Oryzias latipes: one gene and its partners. The protein of the gene in region 5 purifies or fractionates together with the protein of the main gene of each other region. This does not show direct contact. Links are inferred from orthologs where the notes say so. Each region holds a gene or a part of one and is shown on either strand. Other genes may lie near its edges. The genes, in order: cep63, orc2, tdrd3, g3bp1 and fxr1.

Region 1 (3,518 bases), about 16 Mb from region 5:
TCCTGCACAGAAAAGCTGGGGGGCTTCAGTGGGGGGGGTAGCAACAGGAAGGATGGAGGCTCTCCTGAAAGCTCTGATCCATGCAGCATCCTGAGAGCTTTCAGAAGCTAAAGTTTGTTCTTTTCGTGAGCAAAATGCCAGAATCTGCCGTTTGGCTACACCATGTCTTCTCTAAGCCCTTAAAGACTACGAGAACAGTTCTTCAAATCACCATGGAAACCAGCGAACCACGAGGAGCATCCAGGTTCTTTAGATCACATTTAGAAGTTTCTTTTTCTGACAGAAACGTCATGGCTTGCACATTTCTTCCTCCTGAAGAGATGATGTGAGAATGAAATAAACTGAAGCGTTTATGTCATTTTGCTGTTCTGCAGTGAAGATGGCGTTCCTGAAAGCGTTCCCCAGGAGGCCCTCGTGTCGAGACATGATTTCCGCCTCTGTCAGAATGTTGCCCCCCTGTCATTAGACAGGGGTCCGCTCGCTGGACGTCTGCTCCCACTCCGGCCTGACGCCACGGTCCACGTACTTGGACACGGTTCTGTGGTTGATCTCCCTCATTCCCAGGATGTGGGCGTCCAGCCTCTGCAGCAGCTCCTTGGACCTGAAGCTCTCCTCCTCCAGGAAATGTGACAGTGTGCCGTGTGACGAAAGCTCCTGAGGGGCAAAAACCTGTGAGGATCCTAAAAACACCAGAGCTGGTTCAACATTCTGAGAAGTCTCACCTCTGAAGTAGGAGACAGAGTTCTTCTTTCTCTAGATGCTGAGCTTAGACAGTTTCCAGGACTTATGCTTTGCCTGTCTTCAACAAATTCACCAGGACTTGATGACGGGATTGAGATTCTTCTAGTCAGTCCAGCACTGGTGCTGCTGGAGGAGGAGGAGGAGGAGGAGGAGGAAGCAGGAGGCCTGTAGTCTTGGTCCTGGCTGCAGTGCTGCTCTCTGGGGGACATAGATAAAGCATGCAGCTCTTTAAAAAGCCTCTGGATCTCCCCCTCACGGTGAGTGGTGCATTCTGGGGCCTCGGCTCTCACGGCCTGCGTGTCTATCTGAAGCCTGGGAGAACAGGGTTTGTTAGTCTGGAGCTGTGAGTAGACATCATCGACGGCCATCTCCCACCTGGCAGGAGCAGCCAAGCACGTCTGCTCCGAGGCATGATGCCGAGGGTCCGTTTGTTCCGACTGTCCATCCTCCTCTTCAGGCCTGCCTCTGGAGGCCGTGTGCTTCTCCCCCAGTGAAGCTGCTGGGGCCTCTCCCCTCTGAGGATACAGAAGTGCACATTTACGACTGGATCACCGGAGACGCTCCAGAGACGCTGTCCTCTGCGTCGGGGACGCCTGAACCATGCGACCTTTGGTGAAGAAGGCTGCCGTCTCTGCAGCAGGTCACGAAGATGCTGGTTCTCCTTCTGCAGAGTCTCCAGCTGGGTCCAAGTCATCTGACAAACGGATATAGAAAATGTGAGGAGAAACCATCCAATGTCTGAGCAACCCAGACCCAGATCAAGAGAAATGCTTCATGCAAGAAGCAACTTCCTGCTCAGGAACAAACTGAGACGTCATTGCTGCACAGCAGTCAGAGGTCAAGCTCACTCTGAGCTCTGCTCGCTCCCCGCTCAGCGTGGCGATCCTCAGATCACGCTGGTGCAGCTCGCCGGTCATCTTTGCAACCTCCGCCCTCATCCCCTCAACCTCAGCGGCGTGGGTCTGCCTGGCCAGTTCAAGCTCCTCCCTCAGCTGCAGTGGACGACAGTGAGGTAAACAGGCATGACGGCCACAGATGAACAACAAACAGGTTTAGCTTGACTGAGACTTTGGACCTTTTTCATTTCAGCAACTGAAGAGTCAACCTGTGCTTTGAGGCCGGCCACTTCCTGCTCCGTCTCTGAGCGATCAGCTCTGCCTCTGCTCACAGCCTGCAGCCTGCAGGAACAACTCAGATGAATAATGTGAAGAAAACAGCAGCCAGACAACACGTGTCTGATTCCAGACGTCTGCTTCACTGTAAAGACGGTTTGTCAGCAGCTTTGTCCATGCTGGATGTCTGCGGTGCTGAGAGTGAACATCCAGAAGTCAGCAGCGTGGAGGTTTCCATGATGGGCTGCACAAAATCCTCATCTGCTCCAAAAGAATCTGACAGAAACCTCATTTCAACAGCTGGTTTAGCTGCTTCTAGAAAGAGCAAAAATCCACTGGTCTTGGTTTTCTCTCTAAACGGATAACTTCTTCCTGGATCCGGATGTAAAGAGGATTTCACCGGAACTTTTTCCTCATTTCCAGAAGTCTTTGTGTTTTTTGTAGAAACCATCTGCAGTCCAGGTGGACACGGTGGAGTCGGCAGTACTGGCAGCATTTACCTCTCTCTGGTGCGTTTAAGCTCCGCCTTGAGGTGAGCCTCGCAGGCCCGGGAACACTGCAGCTGGACTGCAGACTTCTCCAGATCTCCTCTGAGGTTTTCCACTCCAGCCAGGCCCTGAGCCGACAGGCAGTCCTCCAGAGAGCTGACACACAAAAGCCCAGCAACCGTTACCAACATGGAGCCGTTCTACCGAGTCAGACGACTGTTTCTAGAGAACGCTGTGCACACTTTGAAAAAGAAGTACAACATTTTGACATGTCTGTTTTAAATCCAACTTCTCTTTCATTTGAATATTACATCATTTAGAAGAATGTCAGGAAAACCCAGACGGCTCTGCAATGAGAACAATCACTGAGGAGCAGCTTTTCTTCTTTCCCTTCACTTCATTCATGTTCTGTAAACGTAGATCAGTGATCGTCTGTGATCGCCACCAACCTTCCTGTGGCAGCAGTGATGTCATCAGCACAAGACGAGGAGTTTATTAACAATACAAAACATTTAGGGTGTGTGGAGAAAACAGAACAACTCATGTTATACGCCAGCAAAAGTATCCAGATACAGAAAGAAAGTTTAGTTTTCTGATTCTGCTGACAGTTTTTTTTAACTCCCGATAGTCGGCTGCTAGTCAGCTGCTAGTCGGCTGCTAGTCAGCTGCTAGTCAGCTGCTAGTCAGCTGCTAGTCAGCTGCTAGTCAGCTGCTAGTCAGCTGCTAGTTAGCTGCTAGTTAGCTGCTAGTTAGCCTTCTTTCGCTGCTCATTTTGTTTTGTTCCATCCTTCTCTTTTTTTTCATAGATAAGTGGCATTCCTGCTGCTCCCTTCTGGGTCTGAAACGATCTGCGGTGCATTGTTTACTCGATCAGCTGTTGTTGCCTAGCAACGGCAAAATGTGTCTGGAGATCCCCGTTATTATGATCTGCTTTTTCTCTACAGAGCTATGGTTACAAGAGAATTTCCCCGTTCTGGGATCAGGAACATTCTAAAAAGTTCTTTTCCATTTTAGTCTCATAACTGAGTTTCAGAACACTTATCGATGTATCGATGTTTCGTGACTTCATGTTTACGCCTGTGACCCCGTGACCTACTTTTGACAGAAAAGTCGTATTCAAGCCAGACGTGTTAAACGTAAAACTAAATGTAATACGATTTTTTTGCAAAGTTGGGCA
Region 2 (2,377 bases), on a different chromosome or scaffold from region 5:
CTCCGTCAACCAGAGAAAAACCAACAATGAGAAGGGTAGCTGCTATTAGCATCGCTGCAGTAAAACTCATCGTGCTGATGTTACATGAAGTTTTATTCTAACTAGCGCCATCTTTGCATTTTCAGACTCACACAGTGGATGCGATTCTGCTCCTGCTGAGGGATCTGGATGAAGAGGAGCTTCGGATCGTTCACACAGCCACGCTGAACAGGCTGCAGACCTACACACTGGGCTCAGGAGAGGCTCAGCCACTCACAGCCCACACAGAAACGCACTAGAACTCACGATAACGGCATGCATTCAGCTCCAAAACGCATTGGAATGTAAAACTCAGGACTTTGAAACAGAAAATGTGCACAGGATGACATTCCTCAGCTTTTCTATAATAGAATTTTAACTTTTATTTCTGCATGTGTACCTAGCCTTATGGGAAAAAATTATGCATGTTTTTTTCAAAATGTATACATTTATTTCTGTAATTAAAGAGGAAAAATAACAGCAATAAAATTACCTATAAATTGAGCTTTTATTTATCTGAATTAATTAGTTTACAAAGTGAAAAGTGGTGGTACTAAATCCTTGACATCATTTAAGCTTGTTCCGATGGACTTAAGCTTCTGTCCACAGATCAGATCCTCAGTCCCCCTCCTCGTTCTCCAGGAAGTCCATCAAAGTGCTGGCATCCACAGCGACAGTCAGGTACTCTACTCCATCTGCGCCCTGGAGGATGATGTCACCGAGGTCAGAAAAGCGATGTACTATGAGAGTTCAGAAGACCTATGAAAAGGAGTTCACCTTGCGTGTCCTGATCAGTTTATGGTCCCTGAACTCGGTCAGCTGAGTCCTCAAAGTCAGATCAGAGTTCACCAGGAACGCCTCTCGACAACGCTGGTAGAAATCTTGGAAGGAAAATCCTGCACACACCACAAAAAATGTATTTCAAATGCAATTTAGGAAGAAAACAGTTTTTAATATACTCTTTTTTTAAACACCTGTATACAAAGGGTTGTCTTTGTTTTCCAGTTGAAACTTTACGAGCAGTCTGAAGATTCCTCTGTAAAGAGAAGGGACATGAAGACACAAAGCCAAAAGAAGCCCCCAAACTGGTTTGAGGTGTGAACATTGTATAGAGAAATAAACAGCTATTAATCAGTCATTCTATTTGTTAGAATTAACATTATTGATCTGGTACTTTTTTTTATGTAGTTCATGTTATTCAGTTAATAAACTGGCCAATCAGATGCCTCATTAAAGGTATGTGGTCTCAACGTCAAATGTTCAAAATCCTATATTGACAGATTCACCCAAACCAACTTTCGAGTGGTAGGGGCGTGGCCTTCCAACAAGCTCACTCCTATATGGTGAGAGTGGTTGCCATAGAAACTTGGATTCCAATCGCTGCTTACTGATGTCATCTGGCTTCAATATGGTGGTGCCCATATCAGGAAAAAAGGGTGACCGTATATTGTTGTGGGCAGTACCGTGCGTTGGGCGTCAGGCTGCGCAGCACATGTGTGAGGGAAGACAGAGCCAGAGCGCCGGTCTGCTGCACCAGAAGAGAGTTTTCGTACGACGTCTCCTCTGCGTAGGGCTGGAACGTCACACACTCCCACCACAGCCAGTTAAACTGGCTCACCTTAAACTGGTCCCACACTAGAAGACAGAAAACGTTGAGCTACCATGACTTTTTATTGTGCGGGGTTACTCCAACAGCATGAGTCCTTACAAGCACCCACCTAAAGGAGCATTGATGTGGTCTAAAGAAGCCACCAGGTGCAAGTTGGACAGGGACGCCAGCTGCCCCAGTGCACTCTGGGTCTTTTCTCCTCGTAACATTGGTCCATCGATGTTGTGAATTAGCAAATACAAGTGAAGATCTGGACCTGTGAATACACATCAGTGTAGTTAAAAAATTTTTTGAAAAAAAGAGTTAAAGACCCACTCCGATCATCTTTTGAGCTATTTTCAGTGTTCCCAGTAGTTCCCCCCCCCCCCCAAAGAATTTAAATTTTGATTATGGGTTTTTAGCTAAAATCCAAAACCTGTGTTGTTTACTAGAACATAGTTTCTGAAGAGCGGAAGAAGTTCTTTAGAATTTCACCTCTGAGTTGTGGGTGAGACTGTTGGCATACCAACCCCGCCCCCCTTCACCTACCCATTATGCTGAGAGCTCAGAGAACAGGGGCTTGTGGCCCGCCCAGCGTATTTTTCATGCCACAAATAAGCTTTTCTTCTGATTCACAACAATTTAAATGAAAAAAATACAATGCAATTTTAAGCCTAATTTTCTTTATATATGTCCTCCATCATGAGAAAAATGCCACAAGAACATGTTAAAAACATCGGAGTGGGGGTTTCTTTAGGCACCAGATCGAGA
Region 3 (3,518 bases), on a different chromosome or scaffold from region 5:
TATGTAAGCCCAAATGAAATAAAAAGAGCAATGATTGCTAAAATTAGATATTGTCTTTTAAGCCAAAAAAAAAACAATCTCACCCTTTGGAGCTCCCATTTCTCCACCATGTGCTCAACTTCTCCTCCAAGGACTAAGATGTTTGAATCTTCAAGAAGCAAACAACCATTTTTAACCTGGACTGTACCAAGAAGCTTCACCTTTGTTCCGGGGGGTGTATTCAGACTGAAAAGGACAACAAAACAATGCTTAAATAAGACATGTTTTAGCAAAGCAACACAAACTCTTTTTAAAGCGTGATTCTCACACATTAAAAAAACGGCAAAAACATCCCATTGCCTTCCTGATAGCACTTTCTAAATGACATGAGGCATGAAGCTCTGTCAGCAGATGGGTGGCACGGCTAGAAGAGACCATTAATAATCCCAGCTGCTCCCCCATCCTCATGGTAAATTAAAAGCGCCTCTATCTCATCAGGCCTGATAAGGCCTCTGCCTGTCTCATTAGGAAACCACTGAGACTTAGAGGGATTTCCAGATCCTGATGCAGGAAGCCAAAGGAACAATTACAGATTTTGCTCTTAACCTTTGGGATAGAAAGTGTTCTCTTGATGGAGGCAAGTGCAGAAATGAGACACTGGTTGTTGTTTTTCTCTCAACTACAGACAAACATGCTATTCAACTTGCAACCTAATAGTTGACTTTCTTCAAGTCCTTCATCCCCTTTTCCACGCGCTTACAGACACTTTAAGCAATAAACACAAACCACTGTTGTTGGCTGCCAGTGTGTGTGAGTCTGTGTGTGTGCGCCGCTCATAAAGAGGGGATTTGTTCGGTTTTCTCCTCTCATCCCAGCAGGAAGTCAACACCCACATTCTGGCCACTCCACCTGTACAGGCTGGAGAGAGTCACCATGGCAGCCATCACCAAGGCCACCACTGCTTGGATGGAGATGTAATTAAGGCCGGGAGCAGCTAGATCAGCTGCCACTACGTGGAAATTGCAGATAAAGGGAAAACAATCCAGGCGTGTGGTGCGGTGAGAGCGCTGACAGGGTGTCAGAGCAGAGTGTGCTCGCAATTAGCACGCTAGCTCTAAATATAAAAGCTGGCTAAATGCCCCAGGATCTGCGTACCAAACATCATGCCGTTTATTTAGCAATTAGCCATTTGTAGAATAAGTATGATTTTTAACCCTTTTAACCAGTGATGACTGCCCTGACAGCTGCATTTAACTGTACTCCTCGTTTGTTCAAATATGCAGCATACCTAATCTTGGACAGATGTTTAAACTCCAATCCGACACAGGTGGTGTGCCCATCTGTCATCTGTAGGCGCAGCATCCGCGGTGCACCCTGGGACTCCTCGTTGTCTTTGGGGGCTGAGATGTTTCTCACCTTTTGTACCTGGAGAACACATGGGCCCTCCAGCTAGCCATGTGCAACAGACAAAGAAGGATCGATTATAAAGCAGACACGCCAGCAACACAAGTTACAAGGAAGCCGAATACAGTAGAAAATGGATAACATTTTTACCTTTTTCAATAAAAATAGTATGTTTGTATACGTTACCCTTAGCGTTTGCCTGTTAAACTATTTCGTTACCTATCAGTGCAGAATTACTGCCTTAAGCCATGATTTTTTTATTATTTTTAAGTTTGTGCTCACATAAAAACAAAGTCGAATAAGCGTGCAAAGCAATTCCAGGATAAAGAAAACAAAACTAATCATAATTTGTTGTGTTTTAAGATGACCACCTTCAGTTTTAGTAAAAGGTCCACCATTTTTTTCATGATCATTTGGCAGAGTGTCATCACCATCTAGTGGTGATCCTGAGAACTACAGCTTAACACAGTTTTCATTTTCTGCAAGATTTCTTTCTTCCTACCTTCTCTGTTTTTCCACTGTTGATATCAGATGGTAAAATCTTGCTTCCGATAGGCCTAAGATCCGTCTGCAAGGGAATAACAACAGTATAACAAAAATGCACGAACAAAACATTATATTTCAATTTGTGGATATTAACAGTTCTTGAAAATTGACACTAAATTGAAGGAAGGAGTTCTGAGTAGATTTAACCAAACCAATCATTCTCATTCAAGCTTCTTACAGTTTTTCACTTAAATAATTACATGAGATACTTTGAAAGAAATTCTCACATATGCAATTTTGAGCTTAATTTTCTTAATATCTAACCTATATATTTAGAAAAATGCCAAAGGAATGTGTTAAAAATATCAAGAATGCTGAAATACAATATAAATATCATAGTCATTTCACCCCCCACAGCCGGCAATGTATGCAAAATGTATAATTTAATTAAGTAAATAATCGCACCGATTCTACTAGAAAACATCAATCTAGTTTTTGTTTTTTGCTTTAGTTTAATCAGCTGTCATTTATTTGCTAAATCAGTCAACTGATGAAAGGCAAACGTGTGTGTGCACATGGATTCTTTTCCATCATGCCTGAGTGACAGAGTGCAGAGCGAACGTGAAGCTCTCATCATCATCATCATCATCATCATCATCACCACCAACATAATGCTGCTCTGCATGAGCTGTCACTTGGGGGAAGTATTCCTGTCACTTCTTCATGTGACAGAACAAGCCAGTACATTTGAGAAGAGCAGAACCAAGGAGAACCGGGATCCATTAATGACACTCCAGAACATCATTATTGATGAGATCACACTAACAAGAAACCCTTACGTTTTGATATTTCAGCACGAAACGCCACCAATTCCTTAAAGCCCTCAGTTTAATTAAGCATTTAAAGGGAGAAGTAGTTTGCTGACTCAACATCTCAACTAAACACACACAACCCAAAGGCCGGACGTAGATATATTGGGGAGCAGATGCAGCGCACTGCAGTGAGTCGGACGGCCTGCAGCGTTTTCAGACATCTCCTTCTTGATCCGCGGGAGGCACAGCATGAATGATTGACTAACTTCCTCTGTCACATTAAAGCGCCTTTGTTCACAGAAAGTTCAAGTCAATCCATGTCCACTAAAGGCTGTACATTCAGACTTTTTAATCTAATTACTGATAATCTAGTGAAAAGAAAAAGACATCAGGTAAATAAGCAGCTTCGTCACTAATAATTCAACCTCTACCTTGGGTTTTGATCTCTTCAGGCAGGCTGCACATGACTATGTAGAGAGCTTTAAAGGAAATTGTTATGTCAATTATTTTATTATGTCATTACAATGTAAAAAGTATGAAACTGCAGCATTAAAATGTTTTTAATATACATTATTAGAGAAAAGAAGCTGGAGTTCAGTAAATTTCATTTCTGAATGCAAACCAATGTAAGCAGATGAACATCAAGAATGTCAGGAATGAAATTGGATATTCATTTCATAGGGACTCTCATGTTATAAACGTTTTAAGAAGGGGCCAAAACGGGATGCAGTGCCCAAGGACACTAAAGCCGAAGGGAGGGATCAATACAGAAACTTTCTGACTGAAAGACGATAACACTTCCTTCTGAACAACGTCCACACACCCCCACCTCTCCAA
Region 4 (4,069 bases), on a different chromosome or scaffold from region 5:
AAGAACAGAAGGGAGCGTCTGAGCTGCGGTGGTTATCCAGGCGGGGGGGAGCCCCACAGCCCTCCCCAGCGACCAATGAACCTCTAAAAAGAATCTCATGGTTCACAGCTGATGTCTGCCACGCCCACAAGAACCAACGGCAGCATGGGGGCAACAAGCGTTGGGTGGACAAAGCGAGCGTGAAATGGAAAGTTAAACAACTGCTGCAAAATGACTCATCTTTAGCTAATGTTTCTGTTGCTCTGGCGACAACTTACAAAACCCTAATCAACCAAATGTGGGGAAACTTCTGAAAAAAGGTGCAACACGAGCTTCCCACTCAAATGTAGTAGAGAATTTCAAACAAACCTTTATTAGCAAAGGTAGCAGAACAAAAGAATTTCATCGCTGACGTTCATCCAGAGTGATCAATGTCACACCAACCGAAACCTGTGACTGAGTGAGCGACGGTTCTGAAGTCACTTCGGATCCAGGAAACGGCTCCAGGTCCACAACACGAGGGGGAAACCCCCCCCCAGATGTTTCAGATTGTGTATTTGGACGCCATGGCAACCGTTGAATAGAAAATAAGAAAAATGTTTAAGTATTGCAGATGAGGCATTTATTCTTGTTTACGCGAGCATTAGCCATGATTTCCCAGGAAGGGGACGAGTGCAGTAACAATGCCCCCCCCCCCCCCCCCCCCCGTCTGATGTGGAATGAGGTTAGAGACCATCCTCCAGCATCATGCAACCAGCAGCCGCAGTCTGAATCAGCAAATTTCAACACCAAAGAGAGAAATCCTCCTCTGTAGAAAAAGCCTATAAATGTAATACATGTGTACCAGATAGCAGAAATGTGTCGTTATTTTCTCACTAAAAGAAAAGTGTCACCAGAATTTCTACATGTTATGGAGGATGGACCAGGATCTTTCAAATGGGATCCCAAAACCACAAACCAAAGAAGCCTGCTTTCATGGGTGGGGGCGTGGCCTTCCAACAAGCTCACTCCTGATTGGAGTCAGACTGCAGGCCTTAAGGGCCGTTATCCAGCAGGTTTTTCAGAAATCAGGTGTGTTTAGCCAATAAGGAGCTTCAATTTCAAGTTGATGGGAAGACATGTGGGACACAGGCCAACGAGGCCTGGAGTCTGACACTTAGAGTGGTTGCCATAGAAACACCGATCAATTCAGATCAACTCTACGTCTGCCTCCAACATGGCGCCGTCCGTTTCACAAAAAGACAACAAGAAGGCGACTGGAATTCCTTCAATGGGTTTGAGCCAGAAGTGAACCTTCCTGCCTCTCCATAATCAGAGGACGATCAGTTTGCATTTACACTGAAGTGAACCACACCAGAGTTCATCTGCAAGTGGATTAGATCATCTTGCCCTGATGAAACCGGATTCTCTAATTGAACAGTTCTTTGGGTTTAATACATCCCCACTTGAACCTGGAAGCGCTTTCACGATTCTACAGGGTTTGACCCCCCCGGCAGTGACGGGTTCTTCCGGGTTTCCAGGATATTCCTGATGTTTTGCACATGGCCATGATCCTGGATCAGGAGGGATCAGCCAATCAGAAGATGTTGATCTTCTATTCTGTCAAGTGGGTTTCACGGACAAACCAGGAGGGACGGTTCAGGGAGCAGACGTGCCGCCACAGACGCACATTCTTCTCTTCCCACTTCAGTTCAGCACCATAAAGCGGATCTGGGTTCAAATACACCAGAGGTTCTGCTGACAGAACCGGAAACTGTTGGCTTGGAGGACCTGGAAGGGAAAGGTGAAGCTCTGAGCCCAGAAGGCCACGAGCCACTTTGACATCTGTTCTCACGGCCAACAGCCATCTGCCATTTTTAACACGGAACGGCCCGGGAGCTCCCGCAGTCACGCGGGTCTGATCCGCGAGGGGCCTAACATAGACGGGACCAATCATTTAACGTGCTTCCGCAGAAGTGCGTGGAGATCTGCACGCGCGGCCCGCAGACAAAGACCACGCCGCGGGAACGGCGACGGAAACGGCCGACCCGCGCGCTCTCTTTCCGGGACCGCGCTGACACGCGCCCCCGAGGCCTTGACAAATTTAACCGGGATTCACGTGTCGTGCGCTGTCCTGGTCCATTCCGATCTAATCCGGGACAGCTGGACGGGCCCACCAACCCCAAAAGACGAATTCTGACGGGGGGGGGGGGGGGGGGGGGGGGCGCTCAGCAGCCCCAGCACGTGTCCCGGGCGGTGCTCGTCCACGCTCCGATCCCGACGCCGAGGCCACAAAATGACGCTTTTAACATCCAAAGACGCGTAGAAACGAAGCTAACTCTGTTTAGGGAAAAGGTGAATTTACCCCACGAAAAATAAGGAAAGAAAGCTGGAAAAACCAGAGGGGGGGGGGGGTGTGCTAACGAGGGCTGCGGCTAATTCCTGCAGCTCAGAGTAAAACCAAGCCGTCGTGGGTGATTTGTAACAGCAACAATTTCATACATATGTCGGAAAAAACCCATTCCGGACTTCTGATCGCGATTAAAAAGCAAGTATAAACGTTTAAATCGGATTTCAGCGCGTCCGTCTATAGACCGCGCGACAATGTCAAAGGAAGCTAACATCAGGATGTAGATGGAGCCCGGATGAGCCACCACGTTAATCCTATTTTCATTCTAGTTTCACTTTCTGCCTGGATTCAAACAGTAGGTTTGACATTAAAACTTACCAATGAGTCAATAGTTTTTGGAAAATGTATAAATATATTTTTTAATCTATGGACTTCGACGAGGCGCTGGCGCGGCTTCGCGGCGTGCTGTAGAGCCCGGGTACCGGTTTCACCTCCGCAGCCAAATCTGACGTCCCTCCGTATAAAGAAGCTTCAGCCAATGAAATGACGCATCCACGACCCGCTGACCAATGGGGTGAGAGAATGGCAAGCCTCCCGCGCATCCAGCCAATCGCGAAGCTCCCTCTATTCCAAGGGAGCCAACCACCGCGCGGCGGTGGCAGAGGGTGCGATGGTTATACCGACAGGCGTATCCCGGCAGATTCTCTACACAGATGTGCACCAGCGGCTGTCCACCGCGTGGAGGCGACAAATGCGTTCAGAATCAGTGATTTTAGGTCGCCGTGAATTTTTCATCCAGAATTATCCACCGTCATCAATCAAAGGGGTTCGAATGCGAGAGTGCTTTAGCTTTAAAATAAGCAGGTGGGTAAATGTAACGCCATTGAGACTGAAATGACTGCAGACAGTCAGAGCAGACTGGAAAAATGTCTGCTCCTGTAGTGCACTAAAGAAAAACGTGTAGTGCACTAAAGAAAAAGAAAAGTTCATCTTTTTAGTCATCTTTTAAAAAGACAAACTAAACACATAGAGCTACTGATCCCATGACTAAACTGCTGCAGATGTTTGAGCCTCAAACCACAATATGGCTGTCATGATGTCAGCACAGAGACATCAGCTTAAAAAAAAAAAAGAGCTGATATTAAATTACAGATGTCTTCCGTTGTTTCCTCTGTCAGAGTCAGGGGGAGTTTTTCCTGCTGGGGCACGCTGGGTTCACGCCGCTGTGCATTCTTGCTGCTGAGGGCTGGATGAGCAGGTACAGATGGTAACTGGGTGCTGCGTCTCTCCCTCTGCCGTCTCCCAGGGGACCACGAGCAGCTGTGAGCGGTCGCTGCCGGATGCCGTTTGCTCTGAGAGGACTGCATGTTCGGCACAGGTTTGCTGCAGCCCTAAAAGGTTACTTTTCCCACTGTTTGGAAGACGTTTTAAACATTTATACTCTTCAAATGATGGGGGAAAAACACACATGGGGTTTATTTGTGAAAACGAATAAAACCTGGAGTGTTGGGTCTTGAATGGGGGAAGGAATGCCGGAGCTCCTAACATTGAAGGTTAGACTGGTTGAGATGTTGCACAGCTCCTACAGACAGCAAACAGAATCAGGCAGCACTCAGACGCAGATGATGGATGTGGTGGCTTTGGCTTAAATGCTGAACCGTCTGCAGATAATTGAAGCTGGTGGTAAATTTAAAAAAAGAGGCTGGGAAATGTGCAAACAACGGTTTCAGTTTAACAGATAAGATGGAGGCTGACAGACAC
Region 5 (4,000 bases):
GATCATAGGTCAACCGCCCTACCACTGGACCACAGTCGCCATTAACGCCACATGAATGGTGAGATTTTGGGCAAAGTCGTCCTTCCATCAACATCATAATTGACTATTAAATATATCTGGATCCATCGGCCTGTCAATGCCAAACACGTGGCCCAGGCAATAAAGGAGTGGCTATGTAAAAAGTATCTCAACGTTCTGGAGTGGGTTAGTCCAATAGACCCAACCCAATACAGAATCTTTGGAATGAGTTGAAAGTCTTTGTTGCACAGTGACAGCCCCAGAACATCACAGCTCTTGAGAAGATCTACACTGACAAAATGTGTATAAATATCAGCTACAGTGCTTACCAACCTGCAGAAGACCTACAGGAAACATTTGATATCCATCATTGATAACAGGATTACAAAAAGCATTGAGGTGAACTTATGACTTTTCTCATCTTTTTAAGAGGGACAACTTGCTCCCAACTACCAAATAAGTTTTTGCCTCACTGTACATAGTCCAAACTTCTGAGAACAGTCCTCCCATTTGTTAAAAATATCCTTACCAGAAACCCAGTTCAGTATACCTATTGGAAATGACAAGCTGACATTGAATCACTAGCTTAACATTTATCTTGTGTTATGTATGGGTTAACAGACTTATCCAACTGTTATTTCATGAGTGGTCAATGATTCCCCTTATGGTCATGTAATGATCAGGTGTGGTGCAGTTCCAGCTCCTATAGCAGAACTTACCATGAACTTTTGTTCAAAAATAGTTTCATTTTTTTCCTTGCCTTTCTTTATGCTAATCAGCATCTGTTTTTATATTATTATTAGATTATCATAGAAAATGCAACAGATATGTATGTTTCCTCTAGATTCAAAACTTAGCTTTATAAAGTGGTTTTAAGCATTTGCCTAAACCATGATGTGCAGACACTATCTAGATCTTCCAGTAAAGAAAAGTAATAAACCATAGGGTAGACCGAAGGGTTTCGTTGAAGTGAAAAAAATGTAACAAGCTGTTTATCCCCTTAATCTTCACATTTTACTATCAGAGAAGACATTTACAGGCTCACAAAAACTACAAATGCCATAAAGTTACATAGAGACTTCTAAATTTTAACTTAGGATAAAAGGACATCAGTTAAACAAAAAAACGCAAGAAATATCCGAACAAAGTAATAATGGTAAACCTTAAATTCTGAATAAAATCTATTTATGACCCTTCTCACTGTTTTGACTTGTTCAGATTAACATCAATGTTACCAATCAGCTTCCCTACAATATCCAGGTAAAGAGTAAACACGTTTCTAATTTCTTTTTTTTAGTCTAACTGACAATCAAAGGCACATGGAGATGCTCAGAGGGTGCTTGATGGGACTTCAAGATATTTAAATTTACCCAAATGTCCCTCTTCCTTTGTTAGTTTGCTTAATATTTTGAAGGCATGATAAAACTCAAGAAAGTAACTGTTGCATGCTCACTCTTCTATCATTACATAGTTAACTCTGGGCTGGGTCTAAATAAACTTGAATTTGTCCCGACTCAAATGAATCTAAAAGTCATTTAAAAAAACACTTTAAAATGATATAATGGGACCACTACTTCACTTTTTTTCCACTTACTGTTTACAGACTAACACCACAACTTACAATCTATCGCTTATGTTTTCACTTCTTTCTTTTCAGAGTTCAGAAAGTCCCTACACAAGTATAAAAGGAGTCGAGTTACAATTAAATAAATAAATAAATAAAAAACTTGTTTTGCAACATCTATAGTGAAATCAAAACCCATTCTAATTATTATTCCTAGGAGATATTTGGAATCACAGTAACAAAACTCACAAAACATACCCACAGTTGCTTGGTTTAGCTGTAATTTACTCAAGTGAAACTATTTTAGCATGTAGTGTTGGTTTACAAAGTGGCCTGGCAAAAAGAAAACATGTTAAACATTATGCTAGTAGTAGTAAGAAATTAAAATAGTAGATGGGGGGGAAAGGATGATGAAAAAGGAGACATGGAAGGAAGAAAAGGGGAGACTTTGGTGCCACTTCAGATTGCAGGACTATAAATACACTGTAATTCTTTGAAATGAGCGACCCTCTCCCAGCATGCCAGCTGCTCAGGATTGACAAGGAACAGCTGACTCGCATACGCAGAAATAGTAAAGATAGCTTGGGCATGATACAGTCTCAGTGAATGAACAGTGGCAGACAAGTGTGAAGAAGTACGCCACGTGCATAGAAAACCTAACGTCGAGATTTCAAATCCCTAATATGTACATTTAACAAACTCATCACGTCCTTATGTTCCATGGAGTAAAAAGCCCTTTAGCAACCGAACTAGGGCAAGAACCTACCTGACGTCAACAGAATTACCAGTGAGCTAGTAAGCTAACTTTAGCTTACGAAAACCCGAAGAAAAAGTCCATTGTGTGTTAAAAGATACACTATAAAACAAGTCAGCTGTCTTACAAAACGGATTATGCTTTCTGGATTTGATTATAGTCAATATAATAATCATAAATAACGAATGTTCACAATCATCGACGTTAGCCTAGCCTGCTAATTTTGGCTAACTCTGCTAAAGGCTTACAGCAAGCAGCTGGATGAATTTAGAGGAAGATGGGACACGTAATCAAGTCCAATGAACTTAGGTTATCATAGTAAACAATTTGTGAAAGACAGAAGGTCAAAGGTGCACGGATGCCCCGGTATTTACCTTGTAATAAGCGCCGCGAGAGCCACGGACCTCCACCGCCAGTTCTTCCATATTGGATACGCAAAGGATGCTGGGTCGACAGGTGTTCCATCAAGCCTGAGGTTTGAAGTTTGGGCCAACACCTGTCCTTTCGCGTTTTTGTGGGCAGATACTCCCAACTTTAAAATTATTAACTTACAGCCAAATTACATTTTTGGGTTACTGTTTGTGAAAAGGATCAACAAGGTTTTGGACGATTTGTTGTCCTGTTTTTTTTTTTTGTTTGTTTGTTTTTTAATGTTAGAAAGCTACATTGCTGTGTTTTATTTAAGTAATTTTAGTGATGAAGCAATACAATAAAATAGATCTATTATTTAGTGTGAAATTTTATGCAGATTGTAATATAGCTAGATATAAAAAAAATTTTTTTAAAGCCATTATTGGACTAGCTAATTTGCTTAAGTATTTAGTATTTTGAAATTTTGTATTTCTTTTCACCTACACTCATCAGGATCCAAATCTTTAATACAACAGAATGATGTGGTTCAGTCTAGTATCTTGCATTAAAAAAAGGCTGTAAACACAGCAGGCTTACAGCTTTGATCAGCATCAACTGCACTAAAGAATACTAGAACACAGACTGGAAATTTGATCAATTCTTTATTGTGTGCTTTCTGATTTCAGCTTAGAGACTGTGCATTATAAACAGTGGTGAACAAAATTGTTGGTACCCCTCAGTTAAAGAAAGAAAGCCCACAATGCTCACTGAAATGACTTGAAACGTTCAAAAGTAACAATATATTAAAATTTGTTGAAAATTAAATAATCAAAATCAGCCATTGCTTTTGAGTCGTTGATTAATAGAATTATTTAAAAAAACAAACTAATGAAATAAGGCTGGACAAAAATGATCGTACCCATAACTCGATATTTTGTTGCACAACCTTTTGAGGCAATCACTGCAATTAAACAGTTTCTGCATTTGTCAATGAGCCTTCTGGACCTGTCCACAGGTATTTTGGCCCACTCCTCATGAGCAAAGTGCTCCAGTTGTCTCAGGTTTGACGGGTGTCTTCTCCAAATGGCATGTTTCAGCTCCTTCCACAGATGTTCAATGGGATTCAGGTCTGGGCTCATAAAACCATCTCTAAGCAGCTTGAAGTTCCTGTGACGACAGTGGCACATATTATTCAGAAGTTTAAGACCCACGGGACAGTAGCCAACCTCCCTGGACGTGGCCGGAAGAGGAAAATTGAAGACTAATTGAGGAGACGGATAGTTGGAACTGTATCCAAAGAGCCCAGAACAACC

What was found.
Region 1: the proteins of fxr1 (region 5) and cep63 purify together in Homo sapiens (co-immunoprecipitation; 3 studies listed by BioGRID and IntAct, with this or other methods). This does not show direct contact. The link is inferred for Oryzias latipes from reciprocal best matches to the Homo sapiens genes FXR1 and CEP63.
Region 2: the proteins of fxr1 (region 5) and orc2 purify together in Homo sapiens (affinity purification with mass spectrometry; 4 studies listed by BioGRID and IntAct, with this or other methods). This does not show direct contact. The link is inferred for Oryzias latipes from reciprocal best matches to the Homo sapiens genes FXR1 and ORC2.
Region 3: the proteins of fxr1 (region 5) and tdrd3 purify together in Homo sapiens (affinity purification with mass spectrometry; 3 studies listed by BioGRID and IntAct, with this or other methods). This does not show direct contact. The link is inferred for Oryzias latipes from reciprocal best matches to the Homo sapiens genes FXR1 and TDRD3.
Region 4: the proteins of fxr1 (region 5) and g3bp1 purify together in Homo sapiens (affinity purification with mass spectrometry; 3 studies listed by BioGRID and IntAct, with this or other methods). This does not show direct contact. The link is inferred for Oryzias latipes from reciprocal best matches to the Homo sapiens genes FXR1 and G3BP1.

Annotation. Positions count from the first base shown.
Region 1 is NC_019862.2:2,679,612-2,683,129, forward strand, and holds part of cep63 (centrosomal protein of 63 kDa), read right to left. Parts: intron 2,498-3,518; coding exon 2,354-2,497; intron 1,920-2,353; coding exon 1,817-1,919; intron 1,734-1,816; coding exon 1,590-1,733; intron 1,436-1,589; coding exon 1,349-1,435; intron 1,257-1,348; coding exon 1,117-1,256; intron 1,054-1,116; coding exon 723-1,053; intron 655-722; coding exon 463-654; 3' UTR 1-462. UniProt on the Homo sapiens protein: Required for normal spindle assembly.
Region 2 is NC_019875.2:17,269,197-17,271,573, forward strand, and holds the end of orc2 (origin recognition complex subunit 2), read right to left. Parts: intron 1,884-2,377; coding exon 1,737-1,883; intron 1,654-1,736; coding exon 1,482-1,653; intron 1,055-1,481; coding exon 993-1,054; intron 915-992; coding exon 796-914; intron 721-795; coding exon 637-720; 3' UTR 508-636; downstream 1-507. Other genes in the region: c17h21orf2 (protein C21orf2), read left to right, coding at 1-35, 126-278. UniProt on the Homo sapiens protein: Component of the origin recognition complex (ORC) that binds origins of replication. DNA-binding is ATP-dependent. The specific DNA sequences that define origins of replication have not been identified yet.
Region 3 is NC_019861.2:15,652,720-15,656,237, forward strand, and holds part of tdrd3 (tudor domain-containing protein 3), read right to left. Parts: intron 1,952-3,518; coding exon 1,886-1,951; intron 1,429-1,885; coding exon 1,268-1,428; intron 226-1,267; coding exon 84-225; intron 1-83. UniProt on the Homo sapiens protein: Scaffolding protein that specifically recognizes and binds dimethylarginine-containing proteins. Plays a role in the regulation of translation of target mRNAs by binding Arg/Gly-rich motifs (GAR) in dimethylarginine-containing proteins.
Region 4 is NC_019868.2:28,987,382-28,991,450, reverse strand, and holds the start of g3bp1 (ras GTPase-activating protein-binding protein 1), read right to left. Parts: upstream 2,814-4,069; 5' UTR 2,687-2,813; intron 1-2,686. UniProt on the Homo sapiens protein: Protein involved in various processes, such as stress granule formation and innate immunity. Plays an essential role in stress granule formation.
Region 5 is NC_019862.2:18,754,729-18,758,728, forward strand, and holds the start of fxr1 (fragile X mental retardation syndrome-related protein 1), read right to left. Parts: upstream 2,806-4,000; 5' UTR 2,762-2,805; coding exon 2,711-2,761; intron 1-2,710. UniProt on the Homo sapiens protein: mRNA-binding protein that acts as a regulator of mRNAs translation and/or stability, and which is required for various processes, such as neurogenesis, muscle development and spermatogenesis.